4 linked regions of the Drosophila melanogaster genome follow. The protein of the gene in region 3 interacts with the protein of the main gene of each other region in a pairwise test. Each region holds a gene or a part of one and is shown on either strand. Other genes may lie near its edges.

Region 1 (7,123 bases), on a different chromosome or scaffold from region 3:
ACAGTTTTTGGTTAGCTTTCATATCATTTTAAAGCTTATACAATAAGTGTTTTAAATGTAAATTTCGAAACATGCAATCAGTTTTAATTTGTATCCTTATTTATTCCGATTTCTTGTGTATTATTTCTTAATATTATTTAATATTAATATCTGTGCTAACTGAAAGTGTGCTGCAATGTTTTTAATTAAAGAACTATTATTAAATATCACTGTCTTTATACTTTTATTTTGTTTTCGGTTGGTAGACAACAAGACCTTCATAAACCTAATCATATGCTGACGAATACGATCACTAAATGGACCACCTTTTCTATCTACTTAATCAAATCGAATCGAATCTTATCCACTACCAAAACCCTCAAATATATTAGGTAATCCACAACATTCCAATGAAACTAGTCAAATTACACTTGGATAACTCAGATATACTTACGAATCAAATGATATTGAAAACTGCTTTAAAATACCTAAATACCACAAAGAACTAATCGAATCGATACATATAGATGTCTATAACTTGATAACCAAAATCGTACAATACTCACATCAACATAAGCAAAATATATATCCGAAAGAGAGTAAAGTTTTAACCTAGATATGCCATAGATGGATAAATATTTATGGATATATCAGATATTAGCTATATATTGACATGAAACTCTTTAGTTTATTTCCTCTGAAATTCCACCTTTAGTTAACGAAATTATACAAAAATTAGGAACGAAAATAAGGACAATATGGAAACATTTTTAGAAACTGTTATCATTTATGTTTCTCATCTATCAGCTTAAATTATCTAAGCTAGGTTCACTTTTCACTAGAATTTTCGGGCACTTAGTAAAAAATGCAACACGACTATACTATATATAGAAAGAATTATTTATAAAGAGATATAGCTATCAACAAAATGCAGTTAGCAAATTATTCAACCACTTCTGTGTAGTAAAATGTCCCAACTATGAGTATTTTTCTAACCCAAACCGTACCAACCCAAACCGAAACCGAAACGTAGTGTGGAAAAGATGTCCTACCAATAACCAATCAAGTTTAATAAATGAAAACCCTCCGTTTCAAGTTATAAACAAATGAACCAAAATCGAAACAAAAATGCTTAAGTCAACTATTTAATCATTAGTGAAACATATCCCATTCAACGGCAAATATATAAACTTTATATGGGTAAAGCCATCTCTAGGAGTACGTAGTCGAGGACGAATTTAAAAGCATCAAGTCTAGTAACTGAGATCTGAGTTGAGAATAGCCAAAGCTGCCATTTGTTTGTCCACAATTTTATATACTGACAACTGATATCAAGCAACGCAATTCAAGCATATCCCGAAATAGTCTTCATCATCCAGTGGTTGTCTACAATAGATTTTTACCTAACGCGAGAACCGACGAGGAAATCGGACGGAGAAGTCCGAGACGAAGCCAAACAATCAACGAAGAAATTATGAATTAAATATTATACAATTGTCAAGGAATACTGTGAGCTATATTAGCCGCTTATTTATATTAGCGGTATGTACACCGTATATTAGTCTCTTATTCTAAGCAGATTACTTAGCTAAATTGTGTCCAACTGTAAAGGCCTCTAGAGCACAGCACTTTTGTATGGTATATCAGCCTAAAGACCCTTAGTTTAAATAATCGTACACATCAAATCAATCAGACGGATAATGATAGACACAAAGCCCCGAGCTTGGCAACTAATCGTTTTTGTTGGAATAGAAGCTTCGAAATTAATTTAGTGGTAGCAGGCATGACTCAATTGTACCTATCTTTTGATACCGTTTATTACAAAACTAAGGACTATAATCGTATTTAAATTGTATACCTAATCGAGTGCAGCGAGACCAAAACGCACTCTGCACACTGATGAACTTTTGAAGTCGGCTGAGGAGTACATAAATTTATATCGATATCGAAAACATTTCAGTATGTTCTACGAATGGTAGCTCATAGAACCTATTAAACATAAAACATAATACATAAATAATAACACATTATGCATTGTAATAAACTTATTTATAACATACGGTGACATACTCGAAACGTTTATATACAACACACATATACATATTTATACATAATCAGAAATTATACATATGAGATATGCCACATACGATATCATATAACATATACATATATGAACCATTGCGAAAAGTTGATACAATAAATAAAACACTCATCAATTGCGTTAAAACGTTGTTTTTTAAATTATTTAAAAACTTTTTGTGGGACTATTTTCTTCTTGGCTTCGGAACTTCAATCTAATAGTTTCTAGGGAAGACCGCAAACAAATTTGTTAGGTTTTTCAATTCTCGTTTTATTTCCTAGACTAACCATTCAACAACATTTTCTTAAAGACGTGTACATAGGCTAGGGGTAACTTAGAATCAATCTACATGTTGGATCGGTATCAAATCCCTCGAAGAACACAGAGTAAGAGATTGAGAGTACAGCGTTTGGCACAGATATAGCCGGAGTTTCAGTTTTGGGTCAGTGTAAGCTGCGTGCGATAGATGAAGTCGAATCAAATCAGATCAGATAGTTGAGAACCTTGGTCCCTCAGTGATGGTAGTAGGCATGGGGTTCCACTGGAGCGGGGGCCGGACCTGGAGCCGGATAGTGGGCATAGGGGCTGTGCGCCAGGGCGGGATAGGCGGCATGGAAGTGGGCGGAGGGCAGGACTGGAGTAGCCACTGGCACAGACACCGGAGCTGGAGCAGGAGCGGGAGCGGGACCTGGTGCAGGAGCGGGAGCACCACGGTGGTAAGGTCCTAAGGCAAGAGGATACGAAAGCAGAGGAGCCTTGGGCACCGGCGGAAGTGGAGGCGCCGGAGCTGGGCCGTAATGAGCTGGTACTGGAGCGGGTGCAGGTGCGACGACGGGTGCCAGGTGGGCTGGTGCCTTGTAGGCCAGCGGCTCCTTGCGGACCACCGCATTGAATCCGTGATGGGGATCCGCTGTGTAGTCAACGGTGCGTTTGGTTCCATCCGGATCCACAACCGAGTAGCTGCCCTTCACCACATCTCCGTGGCGCGTCTCGTGCTGTGACTTCAGGTCACCAGTATAACCATCCTGGATGTCGTAGCCAAAGGAGTACTTCGGGTCGGGATCGTAGGGTTCGGGAGCAGCCGGCTTGGGCGCCACATAGGGACCTGGCAGGGGCCCATGCTGCGGTGCATATCCTCCATAGTGGTGCAGAGGTCCGGGACCAGCTGGACCGCCATAGTATGGTCCGGGTCCAATCACGCCCGCATAGGCGATGCCGAGCATGGCGCTCAGCAGGGAAATCTGAAAAAAAAATTAAAAGAAAATGTTGAAAGCGATTAAATTGAAATAAGCTTTAAGTAATATGAGGACAGGGAAGAATTGTTTAGAATAATTCTTGGCAATTAAATTTAATTTAAATCAAATCACATATTAACTCGGATCATTCGACGGGTTTCATTAGGACTTAAACTATCTTCTTTATGCACTAATTTTCTTTGTATGAATAAAATATAAGCTTTTAGTAATAGGAACACTTGGTTAATTCATCTTGGCATTCCCCTTGAGAATATGTTAAATCGGCTTAAACTTGATTGTCCAGACTATAAGAGCACTTTGGTATCCTTTGTTTTCACACCTTCAGCATAACGATGTCCTTGCAGGGGTATCCTTTCCACTCGCTCACAGTTGTCACAGACTCAGCAGACACCACACGTAGAGAGTGGCCGGAGTATTGTTGGTTTCGACGACGATCGCGCTAGAAGAAGTAACCAAAACTGCAAGCGTTCGCTGGAAGTTCTGGCCATTTATACTGGCAAACGGCGGCAAATGTCGCCTGCTTCACATGGCGCAGTCGAGGCAATAAACTAATTTCAGATCAAGAGAGACCCGGCCAGACGGAGTCTTCGGTGTCTTGGGCCAGCGATCAAGCACATGGCGCGGACCAGTACTGCGGAGCCACGGGGGCGGGGATTGACTCTTGCCCACCTGGCGGCAAATCGTGTGCCTGGCTTCAACTTTGGCGCAGTTATCGTGTCGACTTAGAAAGGTTATTCTTCCGCTAAACCATTTAAAGGGTCCCCAGACCCCGGAGCCAATCCAACCCGAGCTTTGCCCTTTCACTTTTGCGACGTTTACGATTCGTTTTCGATTCGCTTTTCAATACCCGCTTGGACACCGACTTTTGGCAATTATGTGAAAATTTATTTTGCCGCACACAATTGAAATGTTACATTAACATTGGCTGGATGTTAGGATATGCTGCATTTGGCTGCCGCGTAATTAGCTAAGAAGAACAAGCTGCACCGGGCGATGTTGAGGTTCCATATGAAATGGCAGTTGCAGCGCATGCGCAAAAGGTCAGGTGGTCCACAATTGAATTAAGAGTGCCTGGAGTGGGCCCAAAAGCCAGAGGCTCACCGAAGAAGGGGGGCGGAAACAGGGGCGACTGGCTCGCCACAACAGCCTAATAAAGCAAAAGGTCAACGCGCTGCTGTCGGCACATTAGTCTGGCCCACAGACCAGGCCAAACAACCACTTGCAGTCTAGGCAAATAATGTCATTAATAATACCCTTCAAAAAGTGGCATGACGACTATATAAGGTTACTCATGACTGATCCTTCAGCTGAAGACTGGTTTTCTGTTTGATCTTCCCCTTAAATGGTTGCTACGTAGCGGAGATGCTAAAAGCTGACTATGATAGGACACATTGTAATAGGAATACTGATCAGTTACATAGTTTATAATCAATGATAAACTTGAGATAATTTCTGGAAGGACCAAAAAAGTTTGCAGCTAGTTCCTAAGAGTGCCTGATTAGCCAAAAATACCCTTTCCAGCCTCTAACGACCAAGTGTCTGCGACAATTCTCATGTTTACCGTTTTGTGAGCTTAATTTATGGCTGCAAATTTGTATCTGGCATCTGGAAAACTATTGACATCTGCATGCATTGTCTTACCCTTGCTGTTACCATCGGGCCTGTTTATGCGACAACTAACTATAACAAAGAATCAAAGTCGTGCCAACCGCCGGGCCAGTCGATGTCAGCTGTTTTAACTATTTTTAGCCAGAAGATCAAAGCAATTGATCAACAAGAATGGCAGGCTAATGCTACAAAGTTGCCAATATGGCTGAATGGAAAATCTAGTCAATAATGGATTAGTTAAGCACAATATTGGTATGTATGTAGGTATTTTAATTGCAAAAATTTTGTTTCGACAAAAACTTACGCGATAGATGTGACATCTCCTGTAGATATTTTCCCAATTACAGGGCTCACAGCTGGCAAAACATTTGACGGTATATCTGTAATTTTAAAACCCATCCAGCTGTTTTAGCTTTATGAAACATATTGCCTAAAGCCGCTAAAGATAAATTTATGGCTATTCCCAGCGCAGTTTAATTTAGCTTCTGGTCAGTTCTCAAAGGGAGTTGGAAGTAGTCAGTCGCTTTGGAAATTTTTTATGTCATCGAAGCAACGTCTGATGGATTTCAGTCAGGTTCTGGATAAGTGTGGAAACTATGGCAGGTTCCAGGTGATGATCCTTTTGCTGTACGGCTACACAAATATTCTTGGATCACTGCACTACTTTTCGCAGACCCTTATCACCTTCACACCAGAGCATTGGTGAGTGTGGACACAAAATGGGTGATTGGTCCCGACCATGTAATATCCAATCTTTCTTATGCAGGTGCTTCCATGCTGACCTTAATGGTCTCAGTGTTGAAGGGATTCGCTCGGTATATGAAAACATATCCGCCTCATCCTGCACGCCCCTTTTGGGCGTAGTCAACGGCACAGGTGTTGTATCTACGAACCGAAAGTGCAGGAATTGGATTTTTAACAGGGAGAGCGGCTACGAAAGCATTACCACCGAGGTATGAAGCCATTGAAAAACGTTGTTGAAAAGATTTACAATATAGAAAACCCACTTCAGCTCAAATGGGTTTGTGACAAATCGCATCATCCAGCAGTGGGCCAATCCTTCTTCTTCATGGGCTCAGTCGTGGGCACCATAATCTTTGGCTATCTGTCGGATCAAGTAGGTCGTCTGCCTTCCCTGCTGATGGCCACCTTGTGTGGTGCAACTGGGGATTTTATCACCTCCTTTGTGCACACGCTGCCCTGGTTCGCCTTTTCCAGATTTATGTCAGGGCTATCCACTGATACCATGTACTACCTAATGTACATATTGGGTAATATAACTTTAAATCAAAATATAAGGTTAAATTAATCTACGTTCCCCATATCGTCAGTCTTTGAGTACTTAAGCCCCAAGAGCCGTACCTTTGGCCTCAACATCATCTTGGCTGTATTCTACTGTTTTGGACTGATGACCTCGCCCTGGGCCGCCATTTGGATTGGTAATTGGCGACGCTACCTTTGGCTGGCATCTCTTCCAGCACTGGGTGTCCTTATATATCCATTCCTGATCTGCGAAAGTGCTCAGTGGCTTTTGACCAAAAGGAAGTACGACGATGCGGTGATTTGTCTAAAGAAAGTGGCCAAGTTCAATAGGCGACATGTGGAGGAGTCCGTTTTCGATGAGTTTGTCAAATACTATCGGGAAAGGGAACTTCAGGATTACAAGCTTAATAGTCACGAGGACACTTTCTTAGCCATGTTTTTGACCCCTCGGTTGCGTCGATTCACTTTGACATTGCTCGTGAAGTCGTAAGTTCTTTACTTTTGGATCTTAGTGCATTATTTAATGCCTTCTTTCGGTTGTAGAGTCATTATAACCCTCTCATGCGATGTGATTAACCGGAATATGGAGGGCTTAGGCACTTCGCCCTTTAAGCTCTTCTCCTTCACATCGATTGTATACCTCCCAGCGGGAGTTGCTATCCTCTTGTTGCAGAACAAGATCGGACGCAAGGGCATGGCCTGCACCGCCCTCTTTGTGGGTGGACTTATTACCACGGCGACGGGTTTCATGATAGCCCACTTGGATCCCACGGAGAACGCCCTGCTGTTGGCTATCATGGTAGGTCTGGGACGATTTGGAGCCACCGTTTCCTACGATGCGGAAATACAGTATGCGGCGGAAATCATTCCGACCAGTGTGAGAGGACAGGCGGTATCCAACATCCATGTCATTGGATTGGCATCCAGCTCACTGGCC
Region 2 (7,714 bases), 9.6 Mb from region 3:
TTTCCATATATTAATTCGTTTTTCATTTTATCAAAATAGGACGACTAAATTATACAGCTGCCATATGAAAATATTAAAGTTGCATTTCAAATAATAGAACAGAAATCCTATATTCGGCTTCCTTCGTTAATATTAGTTTTACCTGTATAATGAGTTTGGCACATTCGTTGCACGGAAATAGTGTGGTATACAGTCGAGTTCCAGACAAACTCATGCCGTTGCTGTTCAGGATTGCATTGGCCTCCGCGTGGACCACGTACATCTTCTTGTCTTCCAGGGGATCAAATTCCTGCGAGCCTTTCTTAGCTTTTGACCACGGAAACACGTCATCGCTGCAGTTGCGAGGGAACCCATTGTATCCAATGGCCACTATCCGATTCTGGGAATCCACGATGCAGGCGCCCACTTGGGTGACGGGATCTTTGCTGCGTTTGGCGGAGAGCAGTGAGGTGGCCATAAAGTAGTCATCCCAATGCAGATATTCCTTTCTCTTGTGGCTTTCGGGTGACTTCGACAACTGGGATATCAAATCTTGAGCGGAAACTTCAGCCATTTCTGCAAAACAAGTAGAAAACCTTATTAAGCGATGGAAATAATTAAATTATGATTTCTGATATCCACTTTTCATTATCGTAATTGGTTTCTTTATGCGTATTTCATTCATATAATGCATACATTAAACCAGCTCTGCAATGACAAATACTTGCCTCAGTTGTCTGTATGTCTTTATTTTAATAATCATTTAATGAATGCAAATCCATACACAACCATATTCCATTTCCAACCCATTGATATTTCCAACACACATATATGATGAAAACAAGTTGTATGTGTATAACTAACTAGAGATAAGAATAATAAATGGTTTGTATAATGCGTTTTATAGAGCAATAAATATTATTTACAACAAAACTGGAAGTAATTAAAGCCCCTTGATGTGCAACCCTGCTTGATTAACAAAATGAACGAAAAAACACTTTAGTTGTCATATCCTTGGTTTTATTTTTTATTTGTTCTTTTTCCTAACTTTTTCATGTCGTTTTTCTTATTTTGTGTGATGGGGTATATGATAGTCAAGGAAAGCATGACAACTGTGTGCACATTCTTTATTGCATTCATTAGACAAAACGATGATCGCGGCTATGTTATAGCAGCAATAATAATATTTTATGTATCATAAATTGGAATATACAGCGAATACTTTCAATAATAATTTTCATATTCAACTCAATGTGGTTAGGCGAGTGCGTAATTAAAACTACCTAGGTGCTCTTCTGCACCTGGATGGGATTCTGCTTGAGGTGCAGGTAGATGGATCGCATGCGGGAGACGTCCTTTCCCGCCTTGTTCACCTTGGGATTGAAGTCGCAGAGCTTGGCTATGCGCTCCCATTCGGTGCCCGGCTCGATGGTGCCATTCTCCAGGGTGGCGGCTTGTTTCTCGGCATTCCGCGACGCCAGTTTGGTCTTCGATATGGACTCGCCAATCTGGCGCAACCAGTCGTCCAGCTCCTTCTTGGACTGCTGTCGGAGTTCCTCCTTTTTTCGCTCCTCCTCGATGTCCTTCTCCTCCAGTCGTTGCTTTTGCTCTTCGCGCCATTTGCGTATCTTTTCGGGCTCTTCCCGCGACGGCGGCGGACCGGATATGCCCACGGGTTCATTGGACTCGCCACCAATGACCTCAAAACTGCCAGTGGAGGATTCGAGGCCACCCGTGCCGCCAGCAGAGAGCAGATCGCCTTCGGAGGCGGTGCCTCCCAGAAGCTCACCCAAGCCCTCGTCTGTGGATGCAGCCGGAGGAGCTGATGCAGATCCACCCGTAATCTCCGCCTCCAAGTCCCCGAGAGCTGACTGTTCGCGCGCCAGGAACTCGGCCGCCGGATCCACGTCCTCCTTGGCAGCGAAATCGTCTCCGAAGTCCATGGCTATGTGCTCTCTGGAAATGTTGTGATTGCTATTTAGTGGGCGTCTCACCCAGATTTACACGTACGCAGAGGAGCAGCCAGCTGCTGGCGGATTCCCCCCGATTCATTGACAATTGGGCACTACGCACCTCTCCTTTGATTCGGTTAGGACTAATTGAAGATCGGTGTGGGCGGATGACTAACCGGAAACTTGGTCAAATGTATTTTTTCAGTTTTCTTTTAGCAATGAATACGTAAAATGACTGTCATTAGTACGTGAACCAACCATAAAACAGCGGGCTATCGAACTGGTTCCAGCCGAACAGTGCTGGATAATGCAACATATATCGCAACGCGATGGTTTTAAATTTAATGTTATGATTTTTATATTAAAAAATAAATATTTTTTTACACCAGTTATTATGCCAAATCTTTTAAATGTATACAAATTAGTAATATTTAAGGAACAGAAACCATTGTTAACTATTTTACTTGTCAAAGCCGAATTCAACATTCCTTAACATCACGGATAACGAGTTAAAGATTTAGCTACATTTTGTATTATTAAGCTACAAGTTTATGATAATGTATGTTGAAAAAACCAAAGTAAGAACATTTAATTTTTCCTTAACTAAACTTTTAAATTATATCAGCAGCGTCAATTTTCCACTGGGTTTCTGGTCAATTAGTGTTGCAAAATGTGTAATGGTGGTGGCTTGATTCGTTCATATATAATTTAGAACCGTACATATAGTTAATAAAACCTAGATTTAATATAATATTTAAGTTTGGAATTATTTTATTTTTTTTTTTGTTTTCAGATTTTGTAAAGTTCTCATGGTTTTTGAAATCAACTAGTTCCAATTGATCAGTGTTAGGAAACGCGCGAGTTCAGTAAACACAACCTTCAGAGGAGTTACGATTAATTTGTTTATATCTTATCAAATGTGCCTTAATAAATGCTCGTAAAATGTAAATACACAACAAAGTTAACTAGTAATGACTGTAGACCCGATAAAAAGCGTATTATACAACACTTGTTGCTATTGCATAGCACATGGGAATATAATTGCTGGTCAAATTTCACGGTGAATTGTTCACACAACATGACTTAATTATGTTTTTGACTAACCTATGCCACGAAGAACACAAGACGCAGTATACTTTTTGAGGAAATTAACAAAGACGAAATGCGAGGACGACGGCAAAACAAACAATAAACACTCGGCGCGCGAACTAGTGAACCGATGAACAAGTTCACCGTGGCATCATTCACCTGAGCCAGTGGTTCGTTTTTCACTGGCAGCAGAGCGGCCATTTTGGAGATTGTTTCATCCACAAAAAAGTTATGCACCGAATCTAAAAAAAAGAACGTTCGCTGTTAGTTAAACATAAAATCCGCTCGTGCATATTGAAGCGTTGTTGTGCTGGCCGATCCGATGTGAAGATAATGCTGGGCCCGAGCAGACCGACAGTTCCGATTCTATAACGACTAAAAGTTAGTGACTATCTTCCAACACGCACGCATGTACGCCCGTGTGTGTGAGTATGTGTGTGTGTGTGTGTGATTGTGTGCATGGATACATATATGTACAAGCGGAAAATACGGGAAAAAATCCTATTCCCAGGCAGAAAAACATTGCCAAAAACAGCATAAATCCCAGCCAATGTGATGGCCCCGTCATTGTAATGTCATAAGTGAGCACCCACATTAACCCATTGACGCTGAAACTTCAAAAATGCGGTCTCCTTGCCGCCGAGCGCCAAGGCAAAAAATACAGACGCCAATTTTTTTGAAGGGGGAACCAAGCGCATCGTGGCCAAAAGGGATACAAAAAAAATGAAGATACGAAAAAAATAGGGGGATCCCTTCAGTGCAGAAAAGTTGGGGAACAAACACCCCAAAACTGGAGTGTTTCATTCTAAAGTGTACTTCTACTATGTGTTTATTGATTTACAATAAAAGATAAACAAAATATGTTTGACCACATATAAATATCAATAATTTTATAGTAATTATTATTGATCCATAAATAACATTAATTGAATTCGCGCCTTTTTCCCCTCTATATTATGAATGCCATGGCAAGCAACTTGTGATAACAATATAAATATGTTATAATCTAAGCTACCGCTAAATTGATAAATATGGGCGGGATTTTTAGACTTAACACATGACCATTGGAAATGTATCCGAGCAATAATAAACTCCAATTAGTTAATCCTTTACATATAAGCCGCTAATTATATTCAAAAACCACTAAAGTTTTGCTATTTGTTTCAGTTACCAGCCATCAGCAGTAGAAGAGCCCAAGCCAAACATGGATCCCAATTCCAGTCCCTGGTCATACGCCTACAACCGCATCGTGCCCGCCAGTGCCGGAAGCTCCGGCGGAACAGCAGAGGACTTCCAGCATCCACACCTGGCCACCATTACGGCAGCAAGCATCGCCAGCTTTAATGCGGCGGCCGCCAGTGGTGGCAGCTTTGTGCCTCCGTCACCGATTGGCAGCTACAACCCAGTATTCCAGCAGATCTACCACCATGCGGCGGCGGCCAGTGTCCAGCCTAAGCCCGCCCACTATGCCTCGTCAGCGGTGAGCACGCCGCACCGCCAGCTGCAGCTGCCCAGTTCGCTGGACAAGCAGCTCAGTTCGTTCCAGAACCAGGCGGCCGTGTCGGCGGCAGCGGCTGCTGTAGTCAACAATGTTGCCTCGAACTATTACGGGGAGAACTCCTCGTCGAGTGGAGCCTCACCATCGCCCACAACGGTGGCCCTGACGTCGACGTCGCTGACCTGGAACACGCCGAACATGATATCGAACACCTTCCTGGCCATGCAACAGCAGCAGGCACAGCAGCAACAGCAGCAGGCACAACAGCAGCAACAACAGGCCCAACAGCAACAGCAGCAGGCGCAACAGCAACAGCTAAACCTGGTGGCCGACAAAGTGGTGAGTAGAATTCGTTTGTTTTACGTTCGGCTTTCAGATCACTCTTCTATTATGGTTTACGCCAGCTTCTGGGGAAGCACACACACTTATTAAAACCCCGCAGGCTCTATCGCATTTATCGCATACTAACATAACATCCCTTCCAATAAACCCATCAAAGCATAGACTAAGTCTAGCCTCTCTATGTCGAATCAATCCCAAACCAAACACTTTCCGATTCCGATTCAATCTATGTACGGTGCGCTGTAGCAGATTAAGCAGGAAAAGCAATTAAAAGCCTACAACGACTCGATTTACCTGATCCAACTGCAACAGCAGCAGCAGCAACAACAGACAGCGGCGCAGCAGCAACAGCAGCAGCTCCACCAGCAACTGCAACAGGAGATCGCCGAGGCAGACACAGAACCGGACACCTATTACACCATTGATGGCCGGAAGGTCAAGGTGACGCGGAAGGATGGCCAGCCGTATCGGGCAACGATAGTAGACCAACAGGATGCCAGTCCGGTGCCGCTGGCAGTGCCAGTTCCGGCGGGATCCTATCCGGTGCAATATGCCAGTCCGGCGCTAAGCTCCGCAGATGGATCGCCCATCACGAATTTACATGCGGTGGACGTGGTCAGCACACCGCAGGCCCAGGTGATCGTCTACAAGACGGCATCCCCTGTGCAAAGGCGGCAAGAAGCGGGCGCTGGATCGTCTGCTGCTGCCACACCCACCACGGTGGCCTACTCATCTGTGATACAAAGCACCCTGCAGCAACAGCAGCAGCAGCAGAACCTCTGCTGGACGAAGCTGGAGGACAATGGAGCGGGGCAGGAGGACATTAAGAACGTGCTGCAGCTGCAGGTGAAACAGGAACATCGGCAGCTCGATTTTGCCAGTGAGGCATCCTCAGTGGACGCCGGTGGTGGTGGCGAAAATCTAGTTTTCAACCTACCGCCCGGGCTGGAGATCAAGCAAACCTTCTATCCCGCGAGCGTGGTCGATGGGGAGCAACTGCAGCTGCAGGAGCACAATCAAAACCAATCCCAGTCCTCCGGTCGGCGCCAGCACGTGGTGGCCAACATGATCATGTCGCCGTCGGCGGGCAACTTAGCGTCACAGATTCAAGTAGTGCCAAAGGTTTGTATTTAATTTTTTTTATTTCCGTTTCTATTTGTTTATTAATTTGTTTGTGTTCTGCCTTTATTTCGTTTTATTTGCTTTTCACACTATTTCTTCCAAGATTTTGCCAACTTAAATGGACTAGTTTGGAAGATCTCTTATTTAGTTCCACTGTGCGCTTTTTCTTTCTGATTGGCTAAAAATAAATTTGAATTAACAAAACGTACCTTAACAGACTATTGGTAGCTTACATAAAAAATCTCATTTGGACGCAAAATTTCCAATATTTATTTTAATTAAGAATTTGAAACCTACATTTATAGAAGTACTAATTAGATTTTCTTGCTTTCAAATACTAGAAGTATCCAGTTTCCCGAATATAAGGTTATTTCGTTAAAGCCCTGTTCTGTAGCTTTATATTTTAAAAAAAATTTGCATGCCCTTTCGATTATTTCTTGTATTATGGTGGAAGCTATTTCTTTGGCCTTCTGTTATTAATCGCTTAATTTGAAATTCTTCGGTTCAATCTAACAAAAACTGCTAACTGATATTCTCTAGTTTAAAGTCATGTGGCCACTTTGAAACTGTGACGTTATGTTGTAATGGTATGATCCAATCCTAATGGGGGTAAACCCAAGCACCAAACGCGTATGCCGCTCGCAGCCCAGTTGTTAATACCCCATAAAATGTTCTGGGAGCAGACTGTTCTTTTTACCAGCCAGTGTACTCGTTTACCAACCGTTTCTAATGTCCCAATGTCCAAGCTATTGATAGTGTGCTGTTTGCATATAACCTTTGGTGATCCCGAGTGTTCTAATCCGCATTCTTTTCACACTTGCTTGCAGGAGGAGGTGAAGCCGCCGCCGAAACCAGCGAAGACTCCGCGCAAGCGCCAACCGAAGAAAACGCTTATCCCCAGTAGCAGCGACTACGGCAATGTGCGCAGTCCCCAGGAGCCGCAGCATCATCAGTTGCAGCAGCAACAGCAACAACAACAGCAGCACAATCAGCAACAGCAGCAACAGAACACGTACTACGACTTCAACAGCAAGTGGAATGCTCCGCTCAAGACGGAAAACAATGCGGCGTCCGTTTCGCCGGCGGCCACAATAAACATACCCACATATCCTCAGCAGAGCCAACAGCAGCAGCACCAGCAGCAGCAAGCGCAGCAGCAGCAGCAGCAGCACTTGCCACAGCCGGCACACCTGCAGTCCTCGCAGGCCCAGTCACACTTGACCCAGTTGGCGCAATACTATCCAGCCTTCCCTCAGCCCATTGCCTCTCAGTACACTGCCTGTATGCAGCAACAGCAACAACAGCAGCAGCAACAACAACAACAGCAGCAACAGCAGGCAGCCTATACGCAGCAGCAACACCAGCAGGCCTACACACAGCAACAGCAGCAGCAGGCGCAGCAGCAGCGTCAGGAGAAGAGTGAAGCCACTCAACAGCAAGAGGAGGAGGCGAACGCGGCTGCAGCGGCGGCAGCAGCAGCAGCGGCCAGCAACAAGGTCATCGTGCCTAACATCGAAGAGGAACTGGATTTTTTGGCGGATGCCACAGCAACACCGAAGCAGGGCTATGCCAACTCACTGTCCAGCAACGGGCGCGGGACCAACTCCTCCACAAATAACACGAACTTTGGCATACGTAATCCGAACAAGACTCCTTCCCCGGAGCCAACGAACTGTCCACCCAACTCGCATGCCTCCAACAATGGGCATGGTCATTCGGCGGTGACGCCCGT
Region 3 (6,633 bases):
CGCATGCCAAGCTAGCATTTAATCCTTCTTAGAGCCAAATGTATTGACTTACGCTTTTCCGCCTTCGTTCCTGCGAATATTTACAGGGTGCCGGCAAGGAAATCCGAGAAGCCATCGCCGATCCATCGCCGGAGGTGACCGCCAAAGCCTGGGCGGCGGTGCTGCCGTTGGTGAACAAGCTGAAGCGCTGCTACGAGCATTCCATGGAGCTGGACAAGATTGTGCCCAAGCTGCTGGGCCAGCTGGTGGGCGGAAAACTGAATCCGACACAGCATCTGGAGACGCAGCAGGCGCTGGTCAAGCAGCTGGCCGAGATCTTGGAGTTCGTGCTGAAGTTCGATGAGTACAAGGTGAGTGAGTTGAGTTTAGTTTAAGTTTGCTCACTTTGACAGCTGGGTGTTACAAGCTCTGTAGTCCATATTTGGATGTAACGACGCCCACGACGTTAACCCATTAATGGCTGGAGGTGGGAAAACCAGGCACTGACAACAAGACATTGCTTGTGTTTGACAGGGCAACATTAGTGGGAAATGGGTGGGTTATTAAATTAATAAAACAAAGTGATTGAGAGGGCTCTTTAATTATAAGTAAACATTTTACAGTGAAACAAAAACCTTTGCAGATACATTTTATGTCAATAATACTTAAATTTTCAATAACAAAGCACTAAAAATGGCATAAAAACTTAAATGGATTTTTACATAAATCTTAATAAATCTAAACGAGAGACTAGTAATCACTGCAAACGAACTGGTAATTCCTGTAACTTTGCAGATGCCACAAACAGCAAAGAGATGCAAATGTTGACAACGTCTTATGAAGGCTTAATTCAATTTAATCTCCGTCTGTTTGCAAAAATGTTAGTGGGTTAAATTCAGTCTTCTTCACTGTTTGTTTACCTTATGTGGGCGCTGTCGACAGTCGAGCCAAAGCAAAGCAATATGTATCTAAAAGCCGAGTCAAATGAAGCCAAACCGAGTTCCACTGCCAACTCATGGTGCGCGTGGTTGCATTTTTAATTGACTGACTTTTTTTTTGCCCACCGACTACTGCCTGTTTTTGCTTGGCTAACTGACTGAATGGCTGACTGACTGATTGGCTGACTGACTGGTTGGCTGAATGGCCAAGACGAGCGCGTGCTGCGGCCCATTGATGAAAAATCTTTCGGGCCACTCGTGCACATTCGTTGGGGGGCCACAGTGGAGCATCGCTGGCACTTACGCGCACGCAAGCCAAATGGCCCACGACAAACGACCGATGGCCGGATGAAGATGTAAAGTGTATTATGTCGGCTTCGGTGGCCTGACAGTGCGGGTCATTAAAGTAGAATATCTCACTTATATAAGAAAATTATAAAAATGTATGTACAAGACGGAAAAATTAGATTGAGAAAGATTTACAAGGGTACAATTCAAAAAGTAAACAAGAGGTTATTTATGAGAGCTAACAAATGTTTATTAAGTGCGTGTGTAAAAACTATACAGCGTTTTTTTTTTTTGTGATTATTATAAAAGGAACGTTGTTCAGTATTTTTTCATTTTCCTAATTTTATTTTAAATTACCTTTTCCGTTCTTGTTTGATTATATATTACTCATTGCAACTAACGCACAATAACCACACTATTTTCCTAGCATAAACTCTTTAAAAAATGCCCACAAAATCAATAGGTTTTTAATGAAATTCAAACACTCAATTATGTTGGCTAACCTGAAGTGTTTGGCCATAACAAAGGCCTGTGAACTATGCAAACACAAACGTATCCCCGCACTGGGTTAAAACACATTACACAGAGCCACATCAGTTTCTGCGGCAGTTGGAGGATATGCCGGTTGATTGTCTGGAGTCAAATAAAATCGATTTGTTTAATGGCAAATCCCTGTGAATGGCGCATTTCCCATGGTTCGCTTCCGTTTGGCGAAACTTTCATTCAAATCGATTGTGGAGCACTATATGTATAGCTGAAAGCTGGGATCTAGGACAATCGGGTAAATAATGGTGGAGGTAGGGAATGGCGAAGTCATCGCCATCGTCGGTTTCTAGTCTCTGATGTCTAGTGTGTCTGCAACTTTGTGCTCCCGACGATAATGGTAATGATAATGGCGATGATGATGATGATGATGTTAAACGCTGCAAACTGCACGTTCATTGTGTGCTCAAAGTGTCAGCCGCCGGGCGCTCACAGATTTTCCCGTGTAAAAAGTTGCATATATGTATACACCGATATATATATATGTATGTATGTACATACTATATAGCCCAAACGTGCTTCCCAACTAACTGCCACTTCCGTTTCTCGAAGAGGAGGAGCATTGTTTCTGCGCCTTTGTTGCCACCAGTTTTCAGTGCGCCCCAAAGTATGCTGTACAATTTATTGACTTTGCTTGTAACTTGCTTCGTTTTAATGTCGCGTTTATTGCGAAAAATCTTGGGGCATCGAGAAGGCACTTGTATAGAGTACAATAAACTTGGCTTTAGTGCTCCTTTATGTAAGTTAACCACTGATATTCAAAGTTCAACGCATGCCACAGAATACAAAGAACATGCTTCAAAAAATGGGTATTTCCCTTTTAGTGAAGTTTTTTAAATTAATTAAAATCTTCTGAAAATAACTTTTATTGTTGTGTATCTCTTACGGAACTAACTAAGCATAGTTTTGTTACATACAATTATTATTATTCTTGCCTTTTAAAGGGATAAACCAATATTTACTGTGTTGGCATGTTGACTCTACAGCAGCTGCAATCTGTATCTTTATCGGATGCAATTGATCTGTTCCGAGTACAGACAGAAATAGTTTTCTTGGCACGCTTTCAACGAAAATTGCTAATGGCTCTTGAGGGGATTTATTCAATATGTTTTTTGATGCAAAGTCAAATGCAGAGTATTCCCCTACTTTTCAACAAAATCCTCGTTGGTGTTGTAAACTGGCTGCAGGCGTCTTGGATATTTACGCAAATATTCGGCAAAATGTTGGGCATATTTGGCCTGGTAATCACGACGCCTCCAGGGCTGAGCGGGTTCATAGAAATTCTCCTTATTATTGTACGTATTTAGATAGTTATTTGTGGCCAATGAGCGACTGCCGCCAATTTGGACCACTTGCTCCTCATCGCGACCCGAATCGCTGGTCTCCAATTCCGGATTCCTTTGTGGATATGGCTGAAGTTGAGGTGGAATTTGAGATTGAGGATAGCGCAGAGGTGTTGATGGCGTAGTCTCCTGTTGTTGATAGTAAAAGTAGCCGGGCACATTGTTATAGTTGTGATTGGGAGCATGTGTTGGGTCTTCCCTTCTCCAATTTGGATATGCTTGTCTATACGCAGGTTCCGCAACATAATAACCATTACTTTTTGGATACTGCTGCTGTTCCTGGGCACTGTACTGATTATCATTCACTATGATAGGCGGACCCGACCATATCGATTGTACATCTGGATTGGCATAGTTGGATTGAGCGTAGTTGGATGTGGTAATTGCATAAGCACTGCCATAAGGTGATGCATACTGAGCTCTCCCACAAACTGCATCGATCATCAGGGGCATAAGTGCACATAGCTTGGAATAATCATTAATAGATTAATCATCTCGGGTGTCCGAATGGAAATCTAGTGAAACACTCACCCAGCTCGACGAGCTGCTCTTCACGATCCGTCCTGTTTGCGGCTTCATTTCTGACTGTTCAGAACGATTTATGCTAATAACGTATTTATATGAGGTTTCACAACAGTCTCTCTGGAAAGCCATATAGTATATATAGTATAGTAATGTATAGTAGTGCATGATGTTCGTTTGCAGCAGCGCCTCTGTCAAGGTGATTGGATGAGCAAACCCCACTTTACCTGACTCAAAAATTTAGCAGGCGGCATTTCTGTAATGTTTGTATTTTTTCTCACGCACGTTTTTTTGCAGCCCTGACAGCTTAAGTGCGGCATCGTTGTTTTGGGCCTGGCCCGTAGTGGAAAACCATTTGGAAGCATTGGCAACACGGGCGGCAGGCAAATTGCGGTGTCACGTACCGCGTAATTAGTAATTAGATTTTCAAGTCAACTGTAATTAGAGGTTAACAAGAGCGAGTGTTGAAAGCAACCGATAGTTGCATACCTTATGATCTTGTTGATAAAGCTGCTTGCTAGAAGAAAAACTTACAAGTCCGTTTCCCTACATATGTATCTTATCTAAAAATATGACTGAACTTCAAAATTAGAAACAATTCGAGCTTGCTTTATTATAGTAAAGGGTATCAACGTTTTCTTACTAACATTTTGTATAAAAAATACAAATTGAAGACTTATGTTTGAAATTTAGCTGGCGTTACTTTAAAATCCAATTCACTTCTACAAATTTGGTTGCATGTAATAGATAAAGAATGCCCCATCACGTGGCACTGGAAGCTTTCTCAGGAACTCGCCACCATCGTATGAATCGCTAAATAATTGGGTTAGATTGGCGTTGGGTTCCATCTGCTTGGAAATGGGCATTCCGTGGCACGTACTATCGCGCGTTAAGAACTAGAAAAAAGAATACAAAATAATTAGATTTCAGTGAAAAGAAAAAATTGTCTAAATATGACTATAGCTTAATATTTCAAGAACGACTTGCTTTAAACGCACCATCATCTCCCTTATGGTTGTCAAATTTTGTGGTGGCGGAGGATGATTGAATGGCTCCTTATTGAATATGTTATCGCCACAGCACTTGAGCAGATGGGATGTTATTATGTTCCTAGATCTGGCCTCGTCTGCATTTTGTGGTGGTTGGCGCAGCTTGTCCATCCACATGGTGGCCATCGTTTTGGAGCGAAAGTCCAGCTGGCAAATGCTTTGCTCCAACTTCTGAATATCCTGCTCGAATTCCTCGTCGAATTTGGTGATTTCTGGATTTACCCTTTTGGAGGAAGTGGATGGCTCCTTCCTCAGATGTTCACGCTGCAATTCCTTTTCACGCTGACGTTCCTTCTCCAGTTCCTTGCGCCACTCCTGCTGATGCTGCTTTTTCTCTCGTTCCTTTTCCCTCGCGAGTTCCTTTCGCCGCTCCAGTTCCCGCTTGCGTTCCATTTCCTCCTCCCTCCTGCGCTCCTTGCGATCCTCCTTGCGCTCGGGACTCGGATTCTTTTCGGGCTTCTGCGATTCGGAATCCTCCACGACGAAGGTCTTCTGTCTGTTTCTGCGAGCGGTGCGAATCAACATCCCAAAAGTTGATTAGAAAACTAACTAAATAATTTTCAATTTACCCTTTCATGTCTCGTTTGTAAATATTTTTGAATATGTTCCTAAATCCCGTACTGTTTTGCTTGCTCATTTTGACGGATGTTTCGAAATGATGCCAGATAATATTTCATTGCTAGGCATATTGCATACCTAAAATCATGTTCAAAGTGATAAACTTATTAAGTTGTATTGTATATTTCTATTTTTCAGATGAAAACCCCCGCCATACAGAATGATTTTAGCTACTACAGACGCATCGTCAGCCGACAGCGTGTGGATTCCACGGAGAATATGCTGGTCAGCACGGAACTGGCCAACCGGATGTCCCTGTTCTACGCCCACGCCACGCCCATGCTCAAGGTGCTGAGCGAGGCGACCTCAAAGTTTGTCAATGACAATGCCGATGATGTCCAGAACACGACGGAAACGCTGGGCACCATGGCCAAGGTGTGCCTGAGGATGCTGGAAAATCCGTGAGTTTAAATGAATCACTATCAATGATAATAAGTATTCTAATCGATGGACAATATTGCTTTTAGAAAACTCCTGCAACAGATCGAGCGTGAGGACACGAAAATGCTGGTGCTGCGCGTAATGGTCGGCCTGGTGATCCTCTACGACCATGTGCATCCGGAGGGAGCCTTCGTGCGTGGCGCCCATGTGGATGTGAAGGGGTGCGTCCGACTGCTGCAGGCGCAACCGGCCATCAAGGCGGAGCCGCTGCTGAATGCCCTGCGATACACGACGAAGCATTTGAATGGGGAGAACACGCCGAAGAATATACAGCGTTTGTTGGCCGCATAATATTGGAGGGGATCGGTGGGCGCGGCCGGTGTGGGCGGAGAGTTCATTAACGTTAATTTCTATGTGTATGCGTATCGATTTAAATGGTTTTTTACCTTTATTTATGTAATTAGTAGGCTTCTGTATTATTTGTAAAAAATTGTGAGCGAGTGTTGTGCTAGCAGGAGGCAACCTCTAGTTTTATTTTTACCCTGTGTGCATTTCCAGCATTTGTTTCGTACTGTTTTAGACTCCAGCCTCCGCGTAACGTAGCAAAGAAGTCGGACAAAAAGTGGGACGCATATATCAGCAGCAACAATATTTAGTTGTTAATCTAGCCCTAATTTTAAGTAATGCAAGGAACCCAATTAACCTAAAAACAAATTAGCGCAAAGTTTAAACTGATGTTTGGGTATACGAGATGTATGAGATAAATCCTAAATTCCACTAATGCAGAGATTATAAATATAAAACAAAAAAAAAAAAACATTTTTAAATCAAATCTAAAGTATTTTTTTGTACATGACAATGTGTTTAGAACGTGGTGTAAAGATCTAAAGAATGCATAAACTAATTGATTACTATAACAAACGAATTGTACGACCTAAAATGCCTACACACAACTGAACCACAAGCTAAAAA
Region 4 (10,539 bases), 6.7 Mb from region 3:
AGTTGCTGCAGCTTGGCCCGCATCTTCTCGATGTCGCTGTCGCTGTCCGAGGGCTCGATCTCCGTGGTGGCCTGGGATGGCTCGTCTGCTGAGGACTCAATGTCGTTCAGAGATTGCTGCTGCTGGTGCTGCTGATAAAGAGTGGCTGCGGAGGCGACCTTCACTACCATGAGAGACATCTGCGGGTACACACAAAATGAAATCAAAGATAAGAGATAATTGGGAGATGTACAATTACGGCCCCCTTTCCTCATGTCTAGATTTTCGCGTAATTGTTACTCAAAATATGTAAACAACAAACAAAAATTGTCCAATTACACTGTACTGCGTAATAAAAAAAAAACCCTTTTGTATAAGAGGTTCGAATCCTCAACTCACTATTGTGTACACCAGGATCAGGCCCATAATCCACCGCCTGCCTTTAGTCCAGCAAGGATCCAGTCGCGTTCGAGTGTCCCGTTGTCCTTGACCGACTGCCGACTGCATGAACATCTTTCCGGGATCTGCTGCTCGAACCACTCGGCTTGCCTATCGCTTGATGAATGTGGGCCTGAGCTTCTGCCTCATCGCGGATCGCAACGATGACTGATTGCAACTGGGAGCTGGCGGCGCCTAAAAAGCGTCGGTTATATCGGCCCAAGTGCAACAGCTTAATTAGAAAGTTTAATAGAGTTTGGCTGCGAAAGCAAAACAGCAAGCTACAGACAGATAAATAAATTAATTGCTCAGGCGAATTCGTGCTCCCAGGCAAGTGGAAAAGAAAGAGATATTAAAAAACGCATTGACCATGAAAATCTGAAGATAGCTGCGAAGTAACTAGAAATATCTTCGGGGCGTGATGAAACCGAAGTGGTTATGCACTCACGAAGGAGCTGACTAGCCATAGCTCTAATTTTGTATATAAGTGAAATACTTTTTAAAAAGGGAAATGATAACATTTAGTGATAATCAATAATTATATTAAAAAAATCGATTCAATATTTTAAAAGTCATAAGTTCAAATCACATTTTAACTATATCTCAAATTTGACATTTAATTATAACCTAAGGTTAAATTATTTCATATTTCATGAAAATATACATCGCTCATAGTAAACATACATGTATTTAAATACCTACTCATACGAACTTTTCAAACCTATTAACTAAGCTAACGTGTTTCACATCCATAACTTAAATTAGTAGAGACCAGAAGTGGAGGTCAAGGTTAACTGCCTAACCTGCACTTTGGGCGCTTTATGACTTGCAAGCAACGATCTCCTTTGCATAGTCGTTAAAACCGACTTTTAAGATAACTCCCAAAAGAGGAGGAACCCACGAGACCAACCAGACCACAAAATCTCCCGGACATGGCTTGATCCCATTTCCCGGTTAGGAGTGAAAAAGAAAATATGTTATTATTGTTTGGGTTTCAAACATCGCACATAACATAACAGGACCGCATGTAATTTCCGCTTCCCAAAAACAGATGAAAAAAATGCTTGTAAATATTCGAAAAACTTATTTTATTGTTCAGGTTTCAGCGATCCGAATTAAAAGTTTATTTAATCGTAATATAGAGCTATATAGTCTTGAGCTGGCGTCCGTCACAGACGACGGCCGCCCATCGATTGTAGAATAGTGATAGAACATAGCAAGAGTTGGATAGACTGTTAGCTGTACAATTGGGGCACTCATTTACAATGATCCCTAGCTGTATGAGTATGCGATTCATTAATTACAAAAATAAAATAAAAACAAACAAATGTCGTCCTTGCAGGCGCACCAGTGGCGCCCTCTAGCACCGCTGGCGCCGGATCGTGTAAAGTTAGACTGTACGAGAATTGACTAGATCAATCTAGCCCTAGACGATGGCCCTATCCCTAATCACATCTGGATCTCTAGATCTAGAAGTTGAAGGGGATGCTGGGCACGGGGTACTGGTAGCCCTGGTGCTTGGTGGGTGCGGGTGGGACGTAGACTGTGGTGCGCTGCGTAGGGGGTGGCACGTACACGGTGGTGCGCACTGTTGGTGGTGGCACGTACACGGTGGTCCTACGAGTGGGTGGTGGAGGAGGTCGGGTGGTGCGCACAACAGTGACGGGGGGCAGGTAGGTGGTTGGTGGCTTAGTTGGTGGCCGAGTGGGTGGTGGAGGAGGGCGGGTGGTGCGCACAGTTGGGGGAGGCAGGTAGGTGGTTGGTGGCTTAGTTGGGGGCCTCGTGGGTGGAAGAGTTGGCCGAGGAGTGGTACGAACGGTGGTGCGAACGGTGACCGGTGGCAGAGGCTTGTTGGTGGGTGGCAGGTAAGTAGGAGCCGGGGTTGTCAAACGACGAGTGGTGGGTGGGTAGGTTGGTGGCCGGGTTGGTGGGCGAGTTGGTGGTGGGGTGGCACGGGTGGTGCGCACGGTAACGGGAGGCAAGTAAGTGGTTGGTGGCTTAGTTGGTGGCCGAGTGGGTGGTGGAGGAGGGCGGGTGGTGCGCACAGTTGGGGGTGGCAGGTAAGTGGTTGGTGGGCGAGTTGGTGGCTTGGTAGGAGGCAGAGTTGGCCGAGGAGTGGTACGAACGGTGGTGCGAACGGTGACCGGTGGCAGAGGCTTGTTGGTGGGTGGCAGGTAAGTAGGAGCCGGGGTTGTTAAACGACGAGTGGTGGGTGGGTAGGTTGGTGGCCGGGTTGGTGGGCGAGTTGGTGGTGGGGTGGCACGGGTGGTGCGCACGGTAACGGGAGGCAAGTAAGTGGTTGGTGGCTTAGTTGGTGGACGAGTGGGTGGTGGAGGAGGGCGGGTGGTGCGCACACTTGGGGGTGGCAAGTAAGTGGTTGGTGGGCGAGTTGGTGGCTTGGTAGGAGGCAAAGTTGGACGAGGAGTGGTACGAACAGTTGTGCGCACGGTGACTGGTGGCAGTGGTTTGTTGGTGGGAGGCAGGTAGGTAGGAGCTGGAGTCGATGCACGGGTTGGTGGTGGTGGTGGCCTAGTTGGAGGAGGGGTTGGGGGGCGAGTTGGGGGACGAGTTGGTGGTGGGGTGGCACGGGTGGTGCGCACGGTAACGGGAGGCAAGTAAGTGGTTGGTGGCTTAGTTGGTGGACGAGTGGGTGGTGGAGGAGGGCGGGTGGTGCGCACAGTTGGGGGTGGCAGGTAAGTGGTTGGTGGGCGAGTTGGTGGCTTGGTAGGAGGCAAAGTTGGACGAGGAGTGGTACGAACGGTGGTGCGAACGGTGACCGGTGGCAGAGGCTTGTTGGTGGGTGGCAAGTAAGTAGGAGCCGGAGTGGTCAGACGACGAGTGGTCGGTGGGTAGGTTGGTGGCCGGGTTGGTGGGCGAGTTGGTGGGGGGGTGGCACGGGTGGTGCGCACGGTAACGGGAGGCAAGTAAGTGGTTGGTGGCTTAGTTGGTGGCCGAGTGGGTGGTGGAGGAGGGCGGGTGGTGCGCACAGTTGGGGGTGGCAGATAAGTGGTTGGTGGGCGAGTTGGTGGCTTGGTAGGAGGAGGAGTTGGACGAGGAGTGGTGCGAACAGTGGTGCGCACGGTGACTGGTGGCAGTGGTTTGTTGGTGGGAGGCAGGTAGGTAGGAGCTGGAGTCGATGCACGGGTCGGTGGTGGTGGTGGCCTCGTTGGTGGTGGTGTTGGACGACGAGTGGTCACTGGTGGCGGTGGCTTGTTGGTGGGTGGCAAGTAGGTTGCTGGAGGACGAGTGGTTGGTGGCTTAGTTGGGGGCCTCGTTGGTGGAGGAGTCCTTGGTGGTGGTGGTGGAGGAGGCAGGCGGGTGGTCACTGGTGGCAGTGGCTTGTTGGTGGGTGGCAGATAGGTTGCTGGAGGACGAGTGGTTGGTGGCCTAGTTGGCGGCCTCGTTGGTGGAGGAGTCCTTGGTGATGGTGGTGGAGGAGGCAGACGGGTGGTCACTGGTGGCAGTGGCTTGTTGGTGGGTGGCAGGTAGGTTGCCGGAGGACGAGTGGTTGGTGGCCTAGTTGGGGGCCTCGTTGGGGGAGGAGTCCTTGGTGGTGGTGGTGGTGGAGGAAGACGGGTGGTCACTGGTGGCAGTGGCTTGTTGGTGGGCGGCAGGTAGGTTGGTGGTGGCGTGGGAGGCCTGGTGGGTGGCCTGGTGGGTGGCCTAGTAGGAGGGCGCGTTGGCGGCCTTGTTGGCGGCTGTGTGGTGCGGACGGGCAGATCGAATGGAACATCGGGAGGGGGGTAGAAGTATCCCTCGGCGGCACGAGTCTTGCGCTGTAAAAAGTGGCTTGTAAGTTCCTGTTGGCAGGGAATCGTCAGATTTCCGCACTTACCTCATGGTTATCGGCCGATGCGGTGGCCACAGCCACAACGCAAAGCGCCAAGACGAACAGTGCACTTCTCTGTGGGGAAGGAACGAAAAACACAGCCTGATTAGTGATGCTACATATTGATGGACTTCGATGGTGTCGCCGTACAGAGGTGCTCAGACTAACGACTGGCTCTAACAACCTGATTGCGACTAATTGATCGCCTTCTAGGCTAATCGCCTATTCACGCTTCGTGGCAACTTGGTCGGGGTCGGAGGAGGCAAGGCAACTCCGCTGGCCTGCAGTTCAAAACTGTGGTAAAGTTCAGCCAACAAACAGCCAAGCTGGCGAATCGATTTACCATAATGCATTGAAAATCACCCGAAATGCTAACGCAGACATTCAACTTTGACGGGCATTAGCATCTCTAGGTCAGTCCCCTCCCCCGGAGCTATGTATGTAAATATCGCAGATTGACGCGATTGATACATAATGCCCATGCAAATGCGGAGCGACACAACAGATCCGAAGCTCAATGGGGATCCGAGGAAGTAGCCCCTGAATTATGGCTTCCGACGATGCTGTCAGCGGGTTTATTTGCATTTGTCGCTGGAGTTTCGGCAAGGTCATTGTTAGTTAATGAAAGTGCTCGTCGATGGCCGCAGATGGCCAGTGTCGATGAGCTCAATTAATTGGCTGACGGAGAATTTTCGGGGGCTATAAAAATAGCCGATTATGAAAGAAACCGGCCCGGATCCGGGCCCCAAACTCCAGACCAGTTCTAGCCATGATTATATAATAATCAGCAAAGACTGGCCATAAAACTAGTGAGAAAACGCAAAATTAGCATACGCATCTGGCATGCGAAGAATAGTAAGCCCCGGTTGTCATTTATAACCAAATCTGTTAGATTTTAAGCCATACCTCCAAAATCGACTGGGTCCAGTTTCATTTATTTTTTTTGTTGGTTTCTGATTGTTTGCTAATTTCAAAAATATTTGATCTTTGTATGTAAATGATTTTAAATAATTTATGCTAATGAACCTAAAATTTTTGCTGTTCTAACTTGTTTTAAATATCAGCCACAATTGAGCTGAGGATATCGAGAACCAAATCGGGTTTGACTTATGGCGGGTGGTGCTTAAAGGTTAGAAAGTGAAAGGACTTGGAGAGATATTTGCAGGGGCAAACCGATTCCCTCGACTGTTCAGTGAGCTAATTGGCAGCTAATTAATCTGATTCACACCGCCTCGAGGGCAGAGCCCCAATGCCAAGACTTTTGGGGCAACTTTATTTTTCCGAAACTGTGAGAGATTTGGGTGAATTAAAGTCTGGGGAAAAGATCAGTCGGCCCTTTAACAAATGAAATCTTCTTTGGCAACAATGATGGTGATTAATGGACGTCTATTCAATGGCAACGTCAAGAATCTAACTTAAGGCAACGTTTTTATGGCTATTTACCTAAATACGCCAATCGCAAATTGCGACTAGCAAATGTCAGAAGCAAAAGCGAAAATTATGGAAAAAAAAACAAGTTTTAATTTCATCTTCAGCCATGTCAATGCTGACATAGAAACTGCCGCCACATGGCAGAATGCACATGCAGCTGGTCCATCCTAATGACTTAATACGCAAATTGCGGATCGCGCCAAGGCGATTTGCTCTGTGGGCGGCCAACACGGCGTATGCGTAACATTGCACTCGATGCCACTTGCTCAATTTCTACATGGCTTAAATGTCAACCGCCATCTGGTCAACTCTTAACTCGCGATGATAGCCCGGGTCCAGAGCTGGACCCTCGACAAAATGTGAAATGCAAATAGATGGCGATTGAATTGGAACTGCAGTCGGTGTTGGCAATTTATTTGCTATTTCTTCTTGTTTGCGATGCTTGGGTATGCACAGAGAAAAATCGGAATGATTTTGAATGAACTTAAAGGCCCTATCTTATCTTATAACCCTTTTTTATGATTGTATCCCTATAAAATTGTAGAACATGCTTTTTTAGTATCCTTTTATACAAGTTCGGATTAATAAATTTCTGAAGATCTAGCGCTAAATAGCTGACACATTATTTTAACACAAGAAATGTTTTAATTTAAAATTAAAGTTTGAATACAAATATCATTGAAAATTCGTATTCGTTCAATTATTTTCTGTACTGTCACAAGCCCAAACTATAAAACGTGGAAACTCCCTAAATATTTTGGACCAACAAAACTGATACTTTTTATCTTCATCTGCACTGCTTTTCCTTTGCGAAATGTCTGTCTTGTTTGTCTTCACACCGAGGGACACTTGTTTCGTTATTTTGCACTTTGCACACGATCATTGTTCGTTTTGGTTTAGATTGGATTGGAACTGGGTTCGGTTACCATGGTGTACACTTTCGGACTGCTACAAACGGCAGTTGCGGTAATCCCGGGTGCGTAGGTAATCCTAGGCGGTGTGCGTGAATAATCCTTGCGGACGGTACTGTGAGGATCGGAAAGGAGAAGACGCGACCGATCGTATCAAATTCAATGGACGATTGAATTTGATCGATGCCAAGCTAAGTTGGTTTAACTTCTAGGTCGAGTGTGGAATACCAACTAAAGCATCAAAACTTGTAGATTTTCTATATATACTCGGACCCAGCATCTGCCCACTTGGGCAGCGGCGTCGGCAGAGGCATCTTCACCTGGGCGACAGCTGTTAACACACGGCCAAAAGCCGAAATCGAAAGCGTTTTGGCCAGATGAAGATGAGCCGAATACGAAGTCTCTGCCGCTGCTGATGCCTCAGCCTTCGTCGACAGCGACGCCGACAGCTGAATGCTGACCAGAAAGCCAACCAGTCTCGGTTGTTTGATGTTTGTGAGTTAACAGCCAGATAACATGGCTAAGACAAAAAGGCAGCCAAATTAAGGCCCAGCAATTATGGCAGAAGAGCAACTAAGCCAGACGCACCATCCGGCCATCCGACCATCCATCCACCAACGCCTGCTCTTGTTGGCATTTCTATTTAGCCAACTCCGATGGCTGGCAAATATGCTCGTACTTTTGGCAGAAGTCTGCGGCGAGTGTTAAACACGTTGTCGTGCAGCATTTAATTTGGTAAATGGGTCCGAGCCACCGAATTTCATCAATCGATGAGACAAGCCGAAGCTGGCTCGACGATCGAGAGCCAAGTCAAGGCTCCCAACGAAGCTTGCCAAGGCAAATAAGGCCGAGAAGATCAGGCGTTGGCTAATGGCACTTACCCCTCGGATCAGGCCTAAATGCAGTTGGAGTTGCGAGTCGATGTTGGAGTTGGAGTCGGCCAATTGAACATGAACCGGTTGACTTGGCCAAAAATGCGTGTGCCCGGGGGTCAGCAGATGGCAGCCGGAGTTGAATGTTAAGGTAGGCTCAGCTCGGCTCAGCTCATCTCTGACTCCGTGTCAGCCGAGTGACCTTTAAACGCACACTCGAAGATCTCGATGATCGGTGATCGGTGATCGGTGTTCAGTGCTGCATTCTTCGAGCGACTCCCAAACGGGTTTCGGCATTTGTCATCGCCTGCATTTCGCCAGTTTAATAACTAGAATTTATTTATTCGCAAGCAGTCACGTCTTGATTTTAATGAACCAATCAGAGTGACACCCACTGGCCACGCGCAGTCATGAGCGGGCCCAAAATAGATGTGACTTTGAACTCTTTCGGCCCAAAGGTGCGTGGTCACTGGGTAGTCAGGGTCTAGATAAAACGGCGGAACAACACCCAGAGGAAGTGCAGCCGAACGGAAGTCACCCCTGCGGCCATCAGACGCCACTTAGAGCCACATTAATTCTTGTCTTTTATTACATAATTGCTGGCTAACTTATTCGGGTCATAACTTGCTTCGCACATCTTCACAAAGGCAATGACACTTGGCGGCGACTGCTGACATTTCAAATTTGTCATTGCGGATAACTGAAGCGACTGAATTGTTTTTATTATTTTTTTCTTTTTTAGTTTTTGGCTCATCGAATGCTTCTTGACTGCCGGCTAGAGGAAAAGCCTTTTTTTGTCACCTCATCCGACATTGCAACAGACGATTATTCAACTTCCATACCGAGTGTCTGATAATTTGCTGCCTCAAATTTTGGACTCCACTGAAGGACGTTAGCGGTTTTCGAATCAAACAAGACCGTCGCTTGAGCCTGTTCTAAACCGCATTCTAGACAGGTTGCTATTTGGATAATTTAAAAATATATTTGTTAATCTAGGGAAGTTTCAGAGCTCGTATGTGAATTGTTATGAGCCTTTGTCTTCGGGCGCGGAAATCATAATATCTAGTTTTTCATTATGTTTTATCAGAATGGAGATCTTGTCTTGGCGCTATTTCCGAACATTATTTTGTATAAATGGGATTTTTAGTCATCAAAAACAAAACGAGAAGCGAGATAAACAAATCTTAAATCATAAAACTAACTACACTCTTTTTCTGGTAAATACAAAAAAAAAAATCGTCACAAAGAACCATATTCTGCAGATGCAAATTTTTTGTAACACAATTAAATATTATATAAATCATGTTGAAACTGCTGAGTAGATTAATTGTATTCTTAAATGCCTCGACGCTTGTTTTTAAAGACGTGTACCCATTCAGGTAGACAATTAATATTACTTATCTAATCCTAGAGCAAATTAAATACCCTCACGCACCGGCCATTAAAATTGAAATCAAGTCTCTTGGCCAGCAACTCGAAAAACTCAACCGCAAATCGGCTAATAAAAAGTGTTCGCCGAAGAATAGAAAACCGAGAAGAAGATGTCGCCACTGAATATTTATAAGAAGGCCGATGACTCTCTACCCACCCAGAAGATTCACGCATCTTTGAATGGATAAAGAAGCGTCTCAGAGTGCGTGGATATTCAAATTTCGCGGATCTTGTCTTGGAGAGAATCATATAAATTTCCGAGTCAAATGTCACGTCACCTGCGTCAGCGGTTGGCAGAGAAGGGAGCACCGAAAGATTGTTAATTGTGCTTATGATTTATGCAAATTTGTCCCAATACATAACGCGAATCTCTGGTAACTTCTACATGGCTTCACTCAAGGCGGACTATATTGTTTTCTGCTTAAGATTTATACTTATGTAAATCCGCCAGCTAAACAGACGCCCAACCCGACTAACTAGTTTGCCACATTGTTTCGCTTTTTTGTGCTCAGTTTGAAATTTGGATTCGAGTTCTGGTCTAGGAAGTGGAATTACCAAAGGTTTTATAAAAGGTTCGAACTGGATTTTACAACACAGCAACTTTGAAATGGAAAGTTCTTAGTAGGAAAAATTTTTACCAATTTTTAGAAGTTCCTGAAACCCAAGTCCAAAATATCTTTAAATTAGAGAGTTGGAAAGTCTTGATTAAAATATAATTGAGTCCTTAAATCCTTCTATAATAATACTCTTAAGTATGTATATACAACGAAATAGACGACAATTACGTATTAAACTGAACTATATTCGGGTTATTTCGCCCTTGAATAAAAGACATATTTCATTCATTGACTCAATTAATCAGGCTGACAAAATGTATTCGAATATCGATTAAGTCTTTTAACCATATCTAGATGGGCTGAATGCAAATAAATAAAGCCTGACTTATCGACCACTGATCTGTGAAACATTCACCTTAATTTGATTCGGATCGGCCAGAAAGACCTAATTAATTCTTTCAACAAGTTGTCGCTCGCCTTTGTTCAAACAATAAAAAGTACAGTTAGAAGAATTCAAAACAGAAATACCGACCGTAAATTTATGAATATGATTTGGCAAAATGTAAAATGTTTGCGATGCGAGTGAATAATTGTTAGCAATCGCATAGACAACTTGTTAACGGCATTTAGTTAATGGATATTCCAAGTCTACGAATACGATGAATAAATGATGTTTGATATTCATTTAAAATCTGTGAAATTTACTTGAAACAAAAAGCTGCAAATTATAAACGGTGCGGCGAGAGAAGTAAAAAAAAAAGAAAAATACGTGTTTTTCCCCTGCGAAAGACCCAGAAACAACAAAAATATTAATAAGCCTTATCAAGGACACCGGCAGGCGAGCGTTAACCAGTTTTTGACCAGCAATTTATGGGCCACAATTGCGGGCCATTGCCATTGGGATCCTTGCCGCACCGCATAAAACACACAGACCATTTTTTGGGAACCGCTGAGGGTCACCGCGCTGGGAACTGTGGGACGAACAGGTAGCCAGCATCCATGAGAACCGGTTACACAGAATCTGTGCTTCGACCATTACATAACCGAGTGACCCTTGAAAGTTTAACCAACTCGACTCGACTGACTGGCCT

What was found.
Region 1: the proteins of CG14153 (region 3) and Cpr92A interact in a two-hybrid assay, tested with the Drosophila melanogaster proteins (one large-scale study listed by BioGRID).
Region 2: the proteins of CG14153 (region 3) and CG17233 interact in a two-hybrid assay, tested with the Drosophila melanogaster proteins (one large-scale study listed by BioGRID).
Region 4: the proteins of CG14153 (region 3) and CG13731 interact in a two-hybrid assay, tested with the Drosophila melanogaster proteins (one large-scale study listed by BioGRID).

What each region holds. Positions count from the first base shown.
Region 1 is NT_033777.3:19,595,192-19,602,314, forward strand, and holds Cpr92A (cuticular protein 92A), read right to left. Parts: upstream 3,765-7,123; 5' UTR 3,644-3,764; coding exon 3,635-3,643; intron 3,301-3,634; coding exon 2,572-3,300; 3' UTR 2,311-2,571; downstream 1-2,310. Other genes in the region: CG7333 (uncharacterized protein), read left to right, coding at 5,483-5,625, 5,690-5,876, 5,936-6,194, 6,255-6,672, 6,730-7,123.
Region 2 is NT_037436.4:20,237,006-20,244,719, reverse strand, and holds the start of CG17233 (uncharacterized protein), read left to right. Parts: upstream 1-3,201; 5' UTR 3,202-3,445; exon of another isoform or gene 3,446-3,601; intron 3,602-3,613; exon of another isoform or gene 3,614-3,667; intron 3,668-4,187; 5' UTR 4,188-4,224; coding exon 4,225-4,857; intron 4,858-5,106; coding exon 5,107-5,982; intron 5,983-6,809; coding exon 6,810-7,714. Other genes in the region: CG6951 (uncharacterized protein), read right to left, coding at 143-553; Clc (clathrin light chain), read right to left, coding at 1,263-1,922.
Region 3 is NT_037436.4:10,640,580-10,647,212, reverse strand, and holds CG14153 (uncharacterized protein), read right to left. Parts: upstream 3,686-6,633; 5' UTR 3,671-3,685; coding exon 3,623-3,670; intron 3,557-3,622; coding exon 2,891-3,556; 3' UTR 2,598-2,890; downstream 1-2,597. Other genes in the region: CG14154 (uncharacterized protein), read right to left, coding at 4,336-4,509, 4,612-5,187; CG32066 (uncharacterized protein), read left to right, coding at 87-350, 5,419-5,681, 5,748-6,012.
Region 4 is NT_037436.4:17,382,142-17,392,680, forward strand, and holds CG13731 (uncharacterized protein), read right to left. Parts: upstream 6,816-10,539; 5' UTR 6,607-6,815; coding exon 6,604-6,606; intron 4,322-6,603; coding exon 4,253-4,321; intron 4,194-4,252; coding exon 1,887-4,193; 3' UTR 1,495-1,886; downstream 1-1,494. Other genes in the region: CG13728 (uncharacterized protein), read right to left, coding at 1-179, 379-492.